Caenorhabditis elegans: one gene and its partners. The protein of the gene in region 2 purifies or fractionates together with the protein of the main gene of each other region. This does not show direct contact. Each region holds a gene or a part of one and is shown on either strand. Other genes may lie near its edges.

Evidence for each region.
Region 1: the proteins of nfya-2 (region 2) and nfyc-1 purify together in Caenorhabditis elegans (affinity purification with western blotting, with the first as the bait; one study listed by BioGRID). This does not show direct contact.
Region 3: the proteins of nfya-2 (region 2) and nfyb-1 purify together in Caenorhabditis elegans (affinity purification with western blotting; one study listed by BioGRID). This does not show direct contact.

What each region holds. Positions count from the first base shown.
Region 1 is NC_003280.10:41,673-45,797, forward strand, and holds nfyc-1 (Nuclear transcription factor Y subunit nfyc-1), read left to right. Parts: upstream 1-2,234; 5' UTR 2,235-2,272; coding exon 2,273-2,305; intron 2,306-2,361; coding exon 2,362-2,451; intron 2,452-2,502; coding exon 2,503-2,763; intron 2,764-2,808; coding exon 2,809-3,052; intron 3,053-3,106; coding exon 3,107-3,177; 3' UTR 3,178-3,245; downstream 3,246-4,125. Other genes in the region: F23F1.10 (Reverse transcriptase domain-containing protein), read right to left, coding at 1-10, 172-306; rpt-4 (putative 26S proteasome regulatory subunit 10B), read right to left, coding at 691-809, 861-1,588, 1,638-1,990; rpoa-49 (RNA polymerase I associated factor, A49-like protein), read left to right, coding at 3,373-3,507, 3,557-3,706. UniProt on the Caenorhabditis elegans protein: Component of sequence-specific heterotrimeric transcription factor (nfya-1-NF-Y and nfya-2-NF-Y) complexes which specifically recognize a 5'-CCAAT-3' box motif found in the promoters of its target genes to regulate their expression and control cellular identity in particular tissue types.
Region 2 is NC_003279.8:11,222,677-11,228,112, forward strand, and holds the start of nfya-2 (Nuclear transcription factor Y subunit nfya-2), read left to right. Parts: upstream 1-2,159; 5' UTR 2,160-2,209; coding exon 2,210-2,211; intron 2,212-2,270; coding exon 2,271-2,352; intron 2,353-2,403; coding exon 2,404-2,479; intron 2,480-2,527; coding exon 2,528-2,601; intron 2,602-4,691; coding exon 4,692-4,778; intron 4,779-4,833; coding exon 4,834-4,900; intron 4,901-5,436. Other genes in the region: Y53H1A.2 (C2H2-type domain-containing protein), read left to right, coding at 1-297, 1,014-1,163, 1,226-1,297. UniProt on the Caenorhabditis elegans protein: Component of the sequence-specific heterotrimeric transcription factor (nfya-2-NF-Y) which specifically recognizes a 5'-CCAAT-3' box motif found in the promoters of its target genes to regulate their expression and control cellular identity in particular tissue types.
Region 3 is NC_003280.10:460,575-469,157, reverse strand, and holds nfyb-1 (Nuclear transcription factor Y subunit nfyb-1), read left to right. Parts: upstream 1-1,792; 5' UTR 1,793-1,821; coding exon 1,822-2,026; intron 2,027-2,252; exon of another isoform or gene 2,253-2,309; intron 2,310-2,604; coding exon 2,605-2,766; intron 2,767-2,914; coding exon 2,915-3,115; intron 3,116-4,587; coding exon 4,588-4,706; intron 4,707-4,980; coding exon 4,981-5,137; intron 5,138-5,777; coding exon 5,778-5,854; intron 5,855-6,484; coding exon 6,485-6,584; intron 6,585-6,954; coding exon 6,955-7,145; 3' UTR 7,146-7,491; downstream 7,492-8,583. Other genes in the region: tomm-22 (Mitochondrial import receptor subunit TOM22 homolog), read left to right, coding at 478-648; W10D9.3 (MKRN2 opposite strand protein-like C-terminal domain-containing protein), read left to right, coding at 8,399-8,401.

The DNA of each region.
Region 1 (4,125 bases), on a different chromosome or scaffold from region 2:
GCCAATTATCCTAAAAAAAGATTTTCTGGAATGTTTTTGTGTGAATTGAAACTCTCGAATGACGCAAATAGCCGATCTAATTATATTATTAACGAGCCAGACATTTTGTGTTTGAATGGGGTAGTGGCATTTCCGAGTATAAATCTCATTCCAGAATATATCAGCTCAAACCTTTTCTTTTTCCAGCTCAACTCTAACTGCTTCTTGTTCCTCCTGGGATATGCTCACTGATTTCAGGTCCTCCAGTTCTGTATACTTGATGGATCCGATACGAGCGATTGCAGATTTTATACTGGTGCTCGCCATTGCTCTGAAACGAAAATTTAATTGAAAAGCTTCATTTTCTATTTTCTTTGAAAAAAATCGAACAATTTTCGACCTTTTGTGGGTTTTATTCAGGATAAATTGAGAATCTTTACACGAAAAGTGCCTTTGTGCCAAATAAAATTGAATTTTTTTTTTGAAAGTCTGGAGAATCGAAAAATTACTATAATATTTCGCGATTTTTTTTACGAGGCTCGTCATTATTTGGGTCTACAAATATTATTTATCGAGAAATCTACTCCATGTCAAGAACCAGCCAAAAATAATTTATGATTCGGATCTTCTTTTTTTACACGGAAACATTGAAAACGGGATAATGGTTAAAAGATGCAAACGGGAAAGGTCCAATAAATACGAAAAAATCAATTAGACAGGTTTATAGTCGAGCTTCGTCTCAAGTCTCTTCGCGTCTCCAACCTTGCGAACAGCTTTCATAAAGTCCTCGTCGATAACGAATTCACGCTCAGCACGGATGGCAAACATTCCTGAAACAAAAATGATAATTTGAATGCAATTTTTATGATTCAACTCCTCACCAGCTTCTGTGCACACATTTCTTAAATCAGCAGCCGAGAATCCGTCGGACAACTTGACAACAGCTTCAAAATCTATTTCGCCGTGTTTGGTGATCTTGTTCGAGTGAATCTTGAGAATTTCCAAGCGAGATTGTTCGTTTGGCAGTCCGATTTCAATCTTTCTATCAAGTCTTCCAGGACGAAGAAGAGCAGGATCCAATGTATCAGGACGATTCGTGGCCATAATAACCTTGACTTTTCCAAGCGAATCGAATCCATCGAGCTGATTGAGAAGTTCCATAAGAGTTCTCTGAATTTCACGATCTGCTGATGTTCCTTCTGAGAAACGTCTTCCACCGATCGCATCAATTTCATCCATGAAGACAATGCATGGCTGATGGTCACGAGCATAATTGAACATTTCTCGAATCATTCTTGCAGACTCTCCGATATATTTATCAACAATAGCAGACGAGACAACTTTCAGGAAATTGCAATCCAGTTGCGATGCTACAGCACGAGCAAGGAGAGTTTTTCCTGTTCCCGGTGGACCAAAAAGCAGACATCCTTTCGGGGGAGTGATACCAACACGTTTAAAGAGTTCGGGATTGATGAGTGGGAGCTCCACAACTTCACGAAGCTCGCGAATCTGCTCAGCGAGTCCTCCGACATCTGAATAGCTAATGTTACCAGGATCTTCGTGAGACATTTTGTAGACTAGCGGATCAACTTCACGTGGCAGCTGACGCCTGAAACATTTCGGTTTAAGACTTTTTGTTTAAAAAACTAAAAGCTTACATGATAGTAAGAGTTGTCATATCCAACGAAACTCTTGTCCCTTGCTTCAACTCTTCCTTGTTAATACTGCGACGGCATCCGACAACATAACGAGGACCATTGGTTGCCTTGACGATGAATTTCTCTTCACTGAGCTGCTTGAGCACTTCTCCTACAATTTGTCCAACAGATTGCAACGACTTGATATCGTTCTCGGATTTGTCAAATTGTTTGGTCATCTCGCTTTCTTTTTTTCGCAAGTCCTTCAACTTCTGTTCAATGTCACGGCACTCTGCCAATTTTCTTCTATAGCTGTTGAGCGCCTTAGTGCGTTCATCCTCTACGATGGCGGGACCAGTTGGTTCAACCATGTTCTGGAATTCAGAAAATATCTAGTTTTGAATGAAAACATTTTTTAATCTGTATAAGATGTAAAAATCTGAAAAAACGAGGTTCTCATGAGGAAAGAACGTCAGAAATGAAAATCAGAATTGAAATTGTCATCGTGTCCAACAGAGCGCAGTTGATCGAGTCCGCAATCTTCCGCCTCGGTGTACGTGCACACAATGCACAATATTTCACGACAGAAGAATAGTGTTGTTTTAATTTATTTTTTTCTAATTAGTTTAAAGTTAATTTTTCTTGCATCTGCCGTGATGTCGCAATTCCCAGAAGTTTTAGACAATAATGTAAGTAATACAATTTAAAATTTTCGACTTCCCAGCAAATGTTTCATTTATTTCAGCTTTTACACGCCGAAAACAACGAAACTGCCGAATACATACAAAATGATGGGACAAATCAATCAGAAGTGTTCATGGAACATCCCTACACGGTGAATAAAATCAACTCGTTTTAAAAACTTATTTATTTTATTTCATTTTAGCCGAACATGCATCCAATAAATATGCCTTCTATTGTAGAAGGTGCGGTTCATCCTTATAATAATTTAATCCATCACAATGATGCGATACCACCGGCAAAGTACGCCTCGATGAGACAAATGACAGAAGATTTCTGGCGTGAAAAAAAACAGAAAATGACTGAGATTTCTGAAGAGGATATGCTGAACAAGTCGAAAAACATGAGCGTTCCCATGGCTAGAGTGAAAAAGATTATGCGAATAGACGACGATGTTCGCAACTTTGTGAGTAGTGTCATTTTCCAGCCGATCTTCATACACTTTTTACAGATGATCGCGTCTGATGCTCCGATATTTATGGCTCAAGCAGCCGAGTTTTTCATTGAAGAAATGACCGCAATGGGCTGGCAATACGTGTCAGAAGCAAGGCGACGAATTCTTCAAAAAGCCGACATAGCAAGCGCAGTGCAAAAAAGTGATCAGTTCGATTTTCTCATCGACTTTCTACCTCCGAAAACGGTGCCAACAACTTCCACAAACGGCCCAGGCCATATGAGTGAAGACAGTTTCCAAGGTTTTCGGTTTTTTTCCTAAATATGATTTTTGTGCAATTTTTAACCTTTTATAGATCCCAACATGCATTCCGACTTTCACCAGAGAACTTCAAATTCTTCAGTCAACCGATCTCACCACAATTGATCTTTATAATAATATTTTCTTGCTTATATTATGTATTAAAATTAAGTTCGTGGCGCCTGGCGCCCTTTAAAAGCTTGAATTTATACCTTTTTTGTCTAAAAATACTGTGTTTCATATGCACATTCATATATTTTCTTATTTCTTTGTTTTTCATTTTACAGGCTTTTACTTTGAAATCTTTAAATTTGAGGCGAAATGTGGTTGTCAAGTGAGGAGCTGAGTGCGAAGAAGACGGCTTGCCACGTGAGAAATGTGGAATCCAACAAAGAATTTGCAGATTCTGATATCGTTGCCTCATTCGTGCACAATCGGCCAAAAGATTTGAAAAACGTTTGTTCTAAAGCACCTTCTTTCAAATGAAAATAAAAATCCATTTTAGCTGACATTCGAAAGACACGGAAAAGGAGGACGTAAAAAAGCGCCAATATTCAGCGTAAAAGGAGATATTAGCGAGCATGTTGTAGAAGTTGGGGCAGATGTTAATTGTCTTGATGAGGGATTCGATTTTGCTGTTGCTTTGGTTGATAAGGTAATTTTGAGTGTATTTTAGCTAACAAATTCACTCTTTCAAAGGCTGAGTACCGAAACCTGAAAAATATTTTGGTACTAGTTCTAAATCACCCCGCCACTTTTTTTCTTTTTTTTCAAATAAAAACGTGTGGAGTTTTTGTATTTTTAGGCTTAGGAAATAGCCATTTCTAAGCCTAAAGATGGAAAATGGACATCACGTTTTATTAAAATGAATAATATTAAAATGAGGGGAAATAATACACAAATAAAAAAAGTGGCGGGGTGATTTAGGACTAGTACCAATATTTTTTAATGACTCCAAATTTTCCCCTGATTCCGAAAATCTATCAAAAAAAAATTTCACTGACTTTGGATTTCAGCTTGAAATCCCCGAATTTCATTTGTGAACCCTTGAGATTTTTCAAACGCTCCAAAAAT
Region 2 (5,436 bases):
GATGGACCAAAAGTGCTCACTACAATGAGAAATATGTTTGCGGAGCAGAAAACCGACGAATATGAGCTGGTCTACGACAATAATTCGCAAAATGTGCCTCAAAATTGTTCACCGAAAAATCAATATTCGCCCCCGCAATCTGTGCAACAAGCTCATTATTCGAATTTATCACATTTTCATCCTAGAAATCCAGAATTTTCACAAGAAATCGTGGAAAATCGAGTAATTTCTCCAAAATCTGAGCATCCGGAAGAAATAGAGGATCACGAAGATGATGAGGATGGCCAAAGTGAAATGGTACTGATAAAAAACCCCGATTCTAACAATTTTTGCCCTGAAAACATGAAAAATCATCAAATTTCAGCCAATAGGACGAAAATTCGTTTGGTTGAGGCTCACAGACTACAAACTACAAACCGCAATCATTTTAAATAGGATTTTATTCAATTTTCGCTTAAAAATTAATTTATACTATTAAAAAACCTAATTTTCAGTTGAAAATCGTATTAAAAAATTCGTTGAGGCTAAAAAAATTGTAGTTTGTAGTCTGTTAGCCTCACCCAAAACATTTTCGACCAAAAAAAAAACGGTTTTCCCCAATTTTTTGTATAAAAATGAGTAAAAACGGCTATTTCATGATATTTATTAACTTTTTACGATAATAACCTTCAATTTTTACGAAAAAAATTGGTTGAGGCTAGAAAAATTGTAGTTTGTAGTCTGTTAGCCTCACCCAAAACATTTTCGACCAAAAAACTGATTTTTCTGCAATTTTTTTATATGAAAATGACTAAAAACTGCAATGTATTAAGCTTATAACTCACTTTTTCAATCCTAAAACACCAAAAACTAACGCAAAACTGGTTGAGGCTAAGAAAATTGTAGTTTGTAGTCCCTGAGCCTCACCCAAAACTATTTTCGGCCGAAAAAACCGATTTTCTCCCGATTTTTCTTATAAAAATGACTAAAAACTACAATTTCATGGATTTCGCCCAACAATTTCGAATTTTCAGAAGCACAATTGCCCGGAATGCCCGAAAAAGTACACATCGGAACGACGTCTCAAGCATCATATCGTTGTACACCGCAATCCGGACGCCTATAAATGTCAAAAATGTGGATATTGCTATCAGAGCCCAGATAGTCTCCGGAGACACTGGAAGGTAGCAAAAAAATCGAATTTTCACTGAAAATTTGACAAAAAATTAATTTTTTTTTGTTGCAGAAAACTCCGAATTGTGACGAGTTTCCGCCGAAGATTAATGTGAAAACAGAGATTTTGGACCCGGATTCATGAATTTTTAAAATTTTTTTTGATTGTTATATTGTAAATTACATTTTTTTACTGTGTACTATTTCTGACACTAACTCGATTTCCCAGTGGCCTTATTCATACGCTCATTTCATTGATTTTCTCGGTGCATATTTAAATTTTTATTCAGTTTTTGATTGACAAAATTCATTTTAATTGCAATTTATATTGATTTTTCAACGATTTTCTCAGTTTTTTCCTCAAAAATTGCCCATTTTTATGCGAATACCTTCATTTTTTTTTCACCCAAAATGTGTAGTTTGTAGTGTGTGAGCCGCAACCAAAATATTGGTTGAGGCTGAGAGGCTATAAACTACAAACTGACACCGCCTCAACCAAGTTTTTTTGTTGAATTTTGAAGCTAAAATCTTTTTTCAGAGTTTTTTGTGAAAATTTTAACAAAAAAAAAAACAAAAATTCATTTGAAAATTAAAAAATGTGAAAAATTTCACGAAAAACCAAAAAAAATCCCGTTTTTAATCAGAAATCATGAATATTTTCAGATTTTTCGGATAAAAATAACAAAGTCTGTAATTTTCAACCAAAAAATGTTAATATCAGTTTTTTAGCGGAAATTATAAAAAAGATCACTTTAAAAAAATGGAAATTACGTATTTTTCCATTAAAAAGTCCGAAAACTAGCGATTTTCCAGTCGAAAAATCAAAAATTGCCTATTTTCTGCTGTGAAATACATGAAATTCGCATTAAAATTAAAAAAAAAAAACCTCCAAAAACTGATTTTTCCCTCAAAAGTCCCAAAAAATTTGGTTGAGGCTATGACATTTTGTAGTTTGTAGCCGAGGCACGCACACTACAAACTACAAAATTTTAATAATTTTTTTTCAGCATTTCCATCACAGCTTGAGTCTGCCCGTAAAAATCGTGTAAGAAACAAAATGTAAGTTTGTTGAGGCTCACAGACTACAAACTACAAAATTTTTTGTTTTTTTTTTTCAGGAATCCACGTGGAAATCCGTCGAAAATGCCGACTCAAATTGTGTTAAACAGACGTCCAGCAGCACCAGCAAGACCTCAAACAGTAGGATTTTGAAACGAAGAGACTACAAACTACAAACTACACAATTTTCAGACATTCACCTCACTGTCCCAATATCACATGTACAATACGGCGAGCACATCATCGGCTCCACCGCCACCACCAAATCGTACGTGCCCGGAAAAAAATAATTTTCTAAAAAAAAATTTTTTTTTAGAAAATTTCGGTCAAATTCGAGAAGCTATCCGAACAACTCAGCCGACAACTGTTCAACTTCCGCCGGACTGCAAAGTACTGTAGTTTACAGCTGTTTTTAGGACATTTGGACGACGTTTAAGGCCTTGAAACGGCTCATTTGACCGAGATTTTCCAAAAAAATTTGAATTTTTCGACCGAAAACTCGCTTTGAAGCTCGAAAATATTTTGGTTGAGGGTCAAAGACTACAAACTACAAAATTGCTTGGCCTCACCCAGATTGAAATTTTACGTTTTTTTGTTGTTAAAAACGCAATAATTTGCGTTTTTCATTATTTTTTAGCAGAAATTTGTTAAAAAATCGGTTTTTCCAGCCTAAAATGTTTTGGTTGAGGCTCACAGACTACAAACTACAACTTTTTCAGCCTCAACCAATTATTTTCTAATTTTTTGGCATTTTTCTCACCGAAAAATCTAGTTTTTATTATTCATACACGATTTTTCCGCCAAAACTACGGGTCTCGACACGACAATTGTTGTTATTTGAACGCAAAAAGGTATAAAAGATACTGTTCTTTCAAACTTTTGTTCCTGCGGTTTTTTATCGATTTTTTTGTAGTTTTTTCGGTTAAAAAAATTATTTATTCAATAAAAATTTCAACAAATCGTGAAAAAAAATTAAAAATCGATGAAAACTCCACAACAACAAAAATTTGAAAATACAGTAATCTTTAAAGGCGCATATCGGTTCGCGTTTAACAAAAAAAGTGTCGTGCCGAGACCCGGTACCGTATTCTTGGCACGAAAATCGCAATATTTTCGCGTCTATATAATATAACAATTAAGTTTTTAAAAGGGAAAATCACTGCAAAAATACGAAATATAATGGTTGAGGCTGCGAAAGTTGTAGTTTGTAGTCTGTGAGCCTCACCTCTGAGCCACGCCGGAATGCAAAGTACTGTAGTTTACAGCTGTTAAGGACATTTGGGACACGTTTTAGGCCTTGAAAATGCACATTTTTGAGAGTTTTTCTAAAAAAAATTTGGACTTTTTCAGCCAAAAACTCGCTTTGAAGCTCGAAAAATAATTTGGGTGAGGCTCAAAGACTACAAACCACAAAATTTCTTGGCCTCACCCAGATTAAAATTTTACGTTTTTTTTTTGTTAAAAATGCAATAATTTGCGTTTTTTCATCAGCTTTTGAAGAAAAAATTCGTTAAAAAATCGAAATTTTTTATCGAGTAAAATGTTTTGTAAAATGTTTTCGTTGAGGCTCACAGACTACAAACTACAACTTTTTTAGCCTCAACCAATTATTTCGTATTTTTTGGCGTTTTTTCTCTTCAAAAATTCAATTTTTATATAACATACACGAAATTGTGCAATTTTTTCGGCAAAACCACGGTACCGGGTCTCGTGACGATAATGTTTGTTAAACGCGAAAATGTATGCGCCTTTAAAAAGTACTGTAATTTCAATTTTCACCGATTTTTAATAGGTTCCAATAAAAAAAAAAACATATATTTACTTAATAAAACATAAATTTCTACAAATCGTGAAAAATATTAAAAAATCTATGAAAACCCACAAAAACAAAAGTTTGAAATTACAGTACTCTTTAAAGGCGCATATCTAATTCGCGTTTAACAAAAGTTATCGTGTCGAGACCCGGTACCGTATCCTTGGCGCAAAAATCGTGAAAATTTCGCGTCTGTGTAATATAAAAATTGAGTTTTTAAAGGGAAAATCACTGCAAAATTACGAAATAAACTGGTTGAGGCTAAGAAGTTTGTAGTTTGTAGTCCCAGAGCCTCACCCAATGCATTTTCGGCCGGAAAAAGCGATTTTCCTTTTTTTTTCTAATAAAAATTACTAAAAACTGCGATTTCATCAACTTTATTGCTTATTTCCAATAATAACCTTTAATTTTGACGGAAAAAAATGGTTGAGGCTGCGAAAGTTCTAGTTTGTAGTCTCTGAGCCTCACCCAAAACATTTTCGGCCGAAAAAACCCGATTTTCCTCCTTTTTTGTATGAAAATGATTAAAAAATGTAATTTCATTAGTTCTATCGCCTTTAAATCATTAAAAAAAACGGTAAATTTTATGCAAAAAAAAGTAGAGGCTAATAAATTTGTAGTTTGTAGTCCGGGAGCCTCACCCAAATCAAATCCCCATCAATTTCAGCTCGTCGAATACACGTGGCAAGAGAACGGTGAATCTCGAACGGTTTTAATTCCAATGTCGAATGATTCTACGGAAGATGACGTCAGAGTGAGAGAAAAAAAATCAATAATCAATAATTAAATAAAATAACAAAAATTTTCAGTCAGCACTTCCCCAATCGGTTCTAGAATCGATAAATCAGCATCAAAATCAGCTTAGACAGGGAAATGGTGAGGCTTAAAGGTGGAGAGACTTAGTTTTTTTTAGACCAAAATTGGTCGAAAACTACCGAATTTCGTAATGAGACGTTCTGAAAATTTCAAATTTCTCAAAAAAAAAAGTAATGGCGGTTCAAAGTTCAGCAAAATAAGGCCCATTTTCAGCTAACATAAAATCAAAATTTTTTCCAACTTCTCGGTGTTGCAACGTCTGTAACCTAATTTTTATTTATTCATCACTTTTTAATAAATATTGTGGTTTTTTACTAGGCGTTTATTCGTTGCTTTAAGTACATATACGGTCTTTGGGGCACAAATAAAAGTTACATTTGTGCCCCATTGACCATAAATGTACTTAAATTAACGAATAGACGCCTAGTAAAAAACCACAATATTTATAAAAAAGTGATGAATAAATAAAAATTAGGTTCCAGACGTTGCAACACCGAGAAGTTGGAAAAAGTTCTGATTTTATGTTAGCTGAGAATGGGTCTTATTTTGCCGAACTTTGAACCGCCATAACTTTTTTGGCAAATACTCCCGATAGT
Region 3 (8,583 bases), on a different chromosome or scaffold from region 2:
TGAACCGAGAAAAAGTTGAAAATTTGCCTATTTTACACTGAAAACTCTAAAAAAGATTCAATTTTCTTTCAGTTTTCCCGAATTTCTGCTCTAAAAACTAAAAATTATCGATTTTTGCAGTATAACATCTAGAAAATCAACAATTTGACAATTTTAAACTGAAAAAAAGTAAAAATTCGGCCTTTTTTATTTGAAAACTCAAAAAAATCTTATTTATTCCTCTAAAAACCAAAAATTATTGATTTTTGCTATAAAACACTCGGAAAATCAACAATTTGACAATTTTTAATAGAGAAAAAATTAAAAATTTGCTTATTTTACACTGAAAACTCTAAAAAAGAATATGTTTTCTTTCAGTTTTCCCGAATTTCTGCTCTAAAAACTAAAAATTATCGATTTTTGTAAAAAAATCTCAATTTGACAGTAAAAACTCATATTTCACACTGAAAACTCCAAAAAAACTCAATTTTCTTTCAGTTTTCCCTTACAAAAAGCACAATTTGGGTTGTATCTACAACGTCATTGATCGCCTTCCTTCCATACATTATCGAAAAGGAACGAAGTGATTTGGAAAAGACTCAAGTGGCTCAGCAACGTCAAATGCTTCTCGGACCATCTGCGGCCATTCAACAAGCCAAAACTGCTTGAAAAACTTGATTTTCTCGCCGAAAATCCCCCTTAAAACCGTCTGAAATTGATCTTTTCCTAGATTTTCCCCTGTTTTTCGTCTTCTGATAGCTTTTTTTGCGATAGAATTCATTATCATATAAATTGTTGATTTTCTAACATTTTTCAAGGATTTTTCTAGCACAATATCCCGGTTTTTTCATCCAAAACTTGTATTTTTATCGATTTTTTTGACGTTTTTCACTTTTTCCAGGTAAAAATCCGAATTTTAAGCTTTAAAAAGCCTTAAAAAACACAAAAATTGCAAATTTTCGCGCTGAAAGTCGCATAAAATTGAATTTTTATAATTTCTGTTCGAAAAATCTTCAATTTTTCGCTGAAAAATTTTTTCCCTGGCAAAAATTCAAATTTTGGGTCTGCTAGGCTACAAACTACAAATTTCGATTTAGCAGACCCGATTTAGAAGAAAAAACGAAGAGTTTTCAGTCTAAAAAGCTTGAAAAATAGCCTTAAAACTTGATTTTTTCGCTTTTTTATTGAAAAAAAACAAAATTTATCATTTTTATCCCAGAAAATCGCTGAAAACCCCGAATTTCGCCTATTTTCTTCGTTTTCACCCAATTTTCTTCAAATTTTCGCAATTTTCAGCTCATTTCCATTATCTAAATTTTTTGCAGCACTGTATTCGGGTTATTTCATCCAAAATGCGTATTTTTATCTTTTTTTCTTGTAGTTTTTCACTTTTTTTCAGGCAAAAATATATGAGACATCGAATTTTAAGCTTTAAAAATGCTTAAAAACACAAAAATCGTCAATTTTTGCACTAAAAGTCCCAAAAACTTCAATTTTTCTAATTTTTATTCGAAAAATGTTCAATTTCTCGCTGAAAAATTGCTTTAAAAAAATTTAATTCTGAAAATTTTTGGTCTGCTAGACTACAAACTACAAATTTCGATTTAGCAGACCAATGTGATTTTTAAGAAGAAATTACGAGTTTTCACTTCGAAAAGCTTGAAAAATGGTCTTGAAACTTGATTTTTCCTGTTTTTTAATCTAAAAAATTAAAAATTTAGCATTTTCAGCTCGGAAAATCGCTGAAAACCCCGAATTTTTGCTATTTTTCCTTGTTTTCACCTTATTTTCTTCAAATTTTCGCAATTTTCAGCCCGTGTCCACCGTCTAAAAGCTCCCAAAATGGATCCAAAACCCATAAACGAAGGAATGTTACTGGAGGATCATGATCATGGAATGCCTGAAGAAGAAGAAATAACAGAAGATGATATGAATGGAATTCATAATATAGAAGAGGATACACGAACAATTAGTGAAATAGCAATGGAGCTTCATCATCCGAATAAAAGTCAAGTTTTACTTGATCAGGAACGATTTTTGCCAATTGGTATGGGAAAACATGCGGAAATTTTGATGAAAATCGATAAATTCCCGGAATTTTACACGAAAAATTGAAATTTCTTGAAAAATCTAGACTGAAAAGTGAAAAAATTCATAAATTTCCGATAAAAACCGCCATTTTTTCTAAAATTGCCCTTTAAAATGAAAAAATATCACATGGGTCTGCTAAATCGAAAATTGTAGTTTGTAGTCTAGCAGACCAATTTTGTTCAAAATCACTTTGGTCTGCTAAATCGAATTTTGTAGTTTGTAGTCTAGCAGACCAAACTTCTTCAATATCTATTGGTCTGCTAAATCTAAACTTGTAGTTTGTAGTCTAGCAGACCAATTTTGTTCAGAACAACAATGGTCTGCTAAATCGAATATTGTAGTTTGTAGTCTAGCAGACCAATTTTTTACAATTTTTTTTTCAAAAACATAAATTTTCGACAAAAATCGATTTTTTTTGTAATTTTTTTTTCAAGAATTGAAAGTTTCTCTGCAAAAAGGCATCAAGCTCGAGATTTTTCAATTTTTTTAAAACAAAAATCGTTGAAAATTCTCCAAAAATCCCAATTTTTTCAGCTAACGTGGTCCGAATCATGAAAACTCAAATGGATCCGCAGGCGAAATTGGCAAAAGACGCAAAGGAGTGTGCTCAAGAGTGTGTTTCAGAGTTTATAAGCTTTATCGCTTCGGAAGCCGCTGAAATATGCAATATTACGAAGCGGAAGACTATTACTGCAGGTAAAACCGGGAAACTCCGTCTAAAATTACCCGCAAATCGTCCAAAAACTACAATTTTCGCATGGAAAACCTTTTTAAAAACTCAAAAACAGCCCAAAAGCCCAAAAAACCCTAAAAACCGCAATTTTCAATATAAAAAAATTTCCAGACGACCTGCTCACCGCGATGGAAGCCACAGGATTCGACAATTACGCGGAGCCAATGCGAATTTTCCTTCAAAAGTACCGTCAGGCTCACAAGATCACTGGACCAATTCACAGAACACACCCAGACTACGTACGGCCTCCACAATTTCAAATGGATCCTTTTGTTCGGCCATTATTCTTCGATACGGAGCAAGGACGCAGATGTTCGTGTGTGAAAATCGGAAAATTTTGCCTGAAAATAGATTAAATTGATGGAAAAATAGAAAAAAAAACTGGAAATTTGACTGGAAATGGATTAAATTTATGGAAAAAATAGTAAAAAACTAGAAATTTCACAGAAAATAGACTAAATTAGTGGAAAAAAATAGAAAAAACGAAATTTGACAGAAAATAGACTAAATTTATGGAAAAAATAGTAAAAAACTAGAAATTTGACAGAAAATAGACTAAATTTATGGAAAAAAATAGAAAAAACGAAATTTGACAGAAAATAGACTAAATTTATGGAAAAAATAATAAAAAACTAGAAATTTCACAGAAAATAGACTAAATTTATGGAAAAAATAATAAAAAACTAGAAATTTCACAGAAAATAGACTAAATTTATGGAAAAAATAGAAAAAACCGGAAACTTGAAATTTAGACTAAGAATTGTTTTTTTTTCAAAGATTGAAGTACTGAGAATGATGATTTTTCATTTAAAAAAATTGTCAAAACTCTGAATTTTTTGCTGAAAAATATTCAGAAGCCGAAATAATAGTAAAAAAACGGTGAAAATTGCATTTTTTCCACATAAATCTCAAAAATTCATTTTTCAGTTTTTTTCAACTACAGTATCCTTTGAAGTCATAGAAAAAATTACAAGATTCGCAGAAAACTCGAAAAAATCATAATTTTAACGCTAAAAACTTAAAATTCAGAATTTTTGGCTTTTAATTTCGGCTTCTGAGTATTTTTCAGCAAAAAATTTAGAGTTTTGACACATTTTTAATGAAAATTATCATTCTCAGTGCTTCAAGCTTTGAAAAATTAATGGGAAGAATAGTAAAAACCTGAACAAAAATGGTTTTCTCTGGAAAAATTCCTAAAAATTTTTTTCAGAGCTTGAAGCACTGAGAATGATGATTTTCCTTTAAAAATTTGTCAAAATTCTAAATTTTTTGCTGAAAGTTGCACAAATTCTTAATTTTGAATTTTTAGCGTTAAATATATGATTTTTTCGAGTTTTCTACGAATCTTGCAACTTGTTCTATGACTTTCAAGGATACTATAGTTAAAAAAAAACTAATAATGCATTTTTAAGATTTATATGGAAAAATTGCAATTCTCACCGTTTTTTTCCCAAAATTTTGAATTTTTCGCGAAACTCAGCAGCTTTGCATAGTAGTTTCAAGCGACTTTTTTTCGGAAAAATACCGAAACTTGCTCTGAAAATGCCATATAACTCCTATAAGGATTACTGTAGTTTCTCTACAAAAATAAATTTCTGTGACTCATGTCCTTCTATCCAAATTGATGGCTGGAATATCGGTATTCTCGGCTGAAACATGCAATAAATACCGTATTCCAACCAACAATTTGTGCAATAGAGCACATTTGTCACCGGAGATGCGGAAGCTATGCCCAAATTTTCAATTTTTCTAGGAAAATGATGAAAAAAATTGCAATTTTCCAGGTACCGAGACTCAATACGTGATAAATGGCAGTGAAATTGTGAAAAATGCTCCATTGGGAGAAGAATGGAATGAGCAAACTGGTACATTGAATACCCGCGCAGATGGATATTATATGGAGGTGAAAATTGGATTTTCTGGATGGAAAACTGTGGAAAAATGGATTTTTCCACTAAAAACCTGAATTTTTAACTCAAAAATTGATTTTTTTAACTCAAAAATTGAATTTTTAATTCAAAAATTGAATTTTTAATTCAAAAATTGAATTTTTAACTCAAAAATTGAATTTTTAATTCAAAAATTGAATTTTTAACTCAAAAATTGAATTTTTAACTCAAAAATTGATTTTTTAACTCAAAAATTGATTTTTTAACTCAAAAAATTCGATTTTTCAGGAGCCAATGGAGCCGATGCCGATGGAAGAAGTAGAAATTGAAGAACACGAGGAAATTATTGAGCAAGATTCACTTGGAGCCATCGCCTTGGAGCAACAAGGCCAAATGCAGATTTATGTGGATCCAAAGACGAAACAACATTTTGCAGCGAAAGAAAGTACGGAATTTTTTATGAAATTCTGAATTTTCCAGCGTGAAAATTGGAAAAATTGAGAAAAATCGATTTTTTTTTGTGAAAATTCCGGAAAAATCGAAGTTTCGCCGATTTTGTGGCGTTTCCAGAAAATTTCTCATTTTTTTCCTTAAAAATTAGAAAAATTAGATTTTTACAGCACAAAAAAAACAGAAAATTGAAATTTTCTTGATTTCCAGCTCAAAAATTGGAAAAAATGGTTTAAAACCGATTTTGAACGGAAAAAATCTAGGAAAATCGATTTTTTTTTTGGTGAAAACTTCAGAAAAAATCGAAATTTCGTCAACTTTTGTGGATTTTACTGAAAATTCCCTATGTTTGCCGTAAAGATTAGAAAAAATTGGTCCAGATTTGATTTTTACAGCAGAAAACTAGAAAATTCAAATTTTTTTTGATTTTTAGCATAAAAACTCGAAAAAATTGGTTTTAATTTGATTTTCTACCTGAAAAATCCGAGAAAATCGATATTTTCCCGATTTTTATATTAAAATTTGTGAAAATTGACATTTTCTCGATTTTTCTGAAAACAATTGTGAATTTTCTCGATTTTCTGTCAAATATCTAAGAAAATGTTTTTAAATAATTCCGGAAAAGCAAATTTCAGCTCCGAATGGCATGGAACTCTACCCTCTGATCATCCAGGACACCCCACTGCAATTGGAAAATGTTTCTGGGCCAAATGTACGATTTCCAGCACTTTTCACAGCGAATTTCAGATTTTTAGTGCGAAATTCGAATTCAGCGCCTCAATTTACCCCCAGAACCCTGTTTCCCCGTCTTCTAGCTCAACATTTTGAATATTTCGGGTTACTGTAGCCCCAAGAGTACGCAAACACCGACTACTGTAACCCAAAGCACCAGATTTTACGGCATTGGCGAATTTCGAGCTGAAAATTGATTTGACGGGGTAAATTGGAGTGCTGAATTCAAAAATCGTATTTAAAATTTCAGAAAATTTGATTTGAAAATCGGAAATTTTGAAATTTTCAGACAAATTTTTTTTTGGGCAAAAACCTTGTAATTTTGAAATTTTAATGCGAAATTCGAATTCAGCGCCAAAAATTACCTTCATTTTCCTTTTCCCCGTGCTTCTAGCTCAAAGTTTGAATATTTTGGGTTACTGTAGCCCCAAGAGTACGCAAATACCGACTACAGTACCCCAAAACACCAGATTTTACGAAATTTGCGAATGTTGAGCTGAAAATTGATTTCCCGGGGTAAAATTGGAGTGCTGAATTCGAAAATCGTATTGAAAATTTCAGAAATTTTGATTAAAAAATTTTTTTTGTTCGAAATTTAATATTTTTTCAGCAATTCGTTATGAATATGCCAGATGGACGAGCAATACCCCACGGAATGGGACAAGAAGAGCCTCAGCCAGTGTCAAGTAGCTCAGTTATGCGGAAAATCGGTAAAATATTGCATTTTTTAGTGATTTTCTGTTCAAAAATGCTGAAAAATGGAGATTTTACTGGTTTTAATGGGAAAAAATCAAGTTTTTAGCATTTTTGAGCCATTTTAATCGGGAAAAAAGTGATTTTGAAGCATTTTAACCCCAATTTTCCAGTTTTATAAAATGAATTTTCCGATTAAATAAGTGTTTTCATGTATTTTCAGCTAATTTTTAGTCTTTTTTAATCGAAAAAACTGATTTTCAGCCAATTTTTCTTTTAAAAAAAGTGATTTTAGGCATTTTTGGCCTATTTTTACCTATTTTGCATATGTTTTTTTCAGAAAAATGAAATTTTTGCACATTTTCAGTCAATTTTCCCGATTTTCAGGTCAAAATCCGTCTTCCTATGCCCAGCAGCACCACCACGTCAGCCACGTGGAACAACACGATGACGTGGAATATGAAGAAGAAGAAGAAGTAGATCAAGTAGAGGAGGATACAGTACCCGTTCCAATCGCGCCGAGACCCGCAGCCACCCGAGTTCAGCCGAAACGAACGCCGACGAAGAGGAAAAAGTAGAGAAAATTGCAAAAAATGATAATTTCTCGATTTTTATTGTATTTTTCGCATTTTTTCACCCTGAAATCCCAACTTTTTGAGGAATTTTTAAAATTTTGCACTGAAAATCACCATTTTTACCGAATTTTTTATTGGATTTTTTCTCATTTTCCCTCAAAACTGAATCTGAAAACTGCAATTTTTGCAAAAATTCAATTTTCCAAAATTTTCCATTTTTCATTGATCTCCATCGTATCCATTTCCTTGACAACTTAACATATACAATTGTAATTATTTTTGAAATATTTATTCATTTATTTATTTATATCTCTAATTTATTGCAAAAAAATAAATTCAATTATACCCCAATGCCTCAGTTTTCACTTAACCACCAAAAAAATTCGTTTCAAATCGATTTTTCAATTTTTCCACACTTTTCCCATTGAATTTCAAATTTTCAATGCGAAATTCGAATTCAGCGCCTCAAATTACCCCTATTTCCTTTTTCTCCCGGCTTCCAGCTCTAATTTTAAGAAAATTGGGGTACTGTAGCTCCAGGAGTACGCAAACACTGACTACAGTACCCCAAAACGCCTGATTTTACGACACTTGCGAATTTTGAGCTGAAAATTGATTTGACGGAGTAAAATGGGGTGCTGAATTCTAAAATCGTATTAAAAATTTCTGAAAATTTTTATTTGAAAATCTGAAATTTTGAGATTTTCAGAGAAATTTTTTTTTGAGGCGCCAAACTTGTAAGTTTGAATTTTCAATGTGAAATTCGAATTCAGCGTTAAAAGTAACCCTATAGTCCGTTTCTTCCGGCTTCTAGCTCGAAATTTTAAAAATTTGGGGTACTGTAATCCCAAAAGTGCGCAAACACCGACTACAGTACCCCAAAACGCCAGATTTTACGACATTGGCGAATTTTGGGCTAAAAACTGATTTGACGGGGTAAAATAAAGTGCTGAGTACGAAAATCGTATTGAAAATTTTTGAAAATTCGATTTGAAAATCTTAAATTTTGAGATTTTCAGACAAAATTTTTTTTGGCAAAAAACTTGTAATTTTGAAATGTTTAATGTGAAATTCAAATTCAGCACCTTAAATTGGCCCTTATCCCCGGTTTCCCTGGTTTTCAACTCAAAAATGAGAAATTTTGGGTTACTGTAGCACCAAGAGTACGCAAACACCGACTACAGTCCCCCAAAACACTTGATTTCACGACATTGGTGAATTTCAAGCTGAAAATTGATGTGACGGGGTAAAATAGGATGGTGAGTTCGAAAATCGTATTGAAAATTTTTGAAAATTCGATTTGAAAATCTTAAATTTTGAGATTTTCAGACAAAATTTGTTTTTGTTTAAAAAAAAATCGAAAATTTCAAATTTCAATGCGAAATTCGAATTCAGCGCCTCAAATTACCCCTATTTCCCTTTTTCCCCGGCTTCCAGCTCA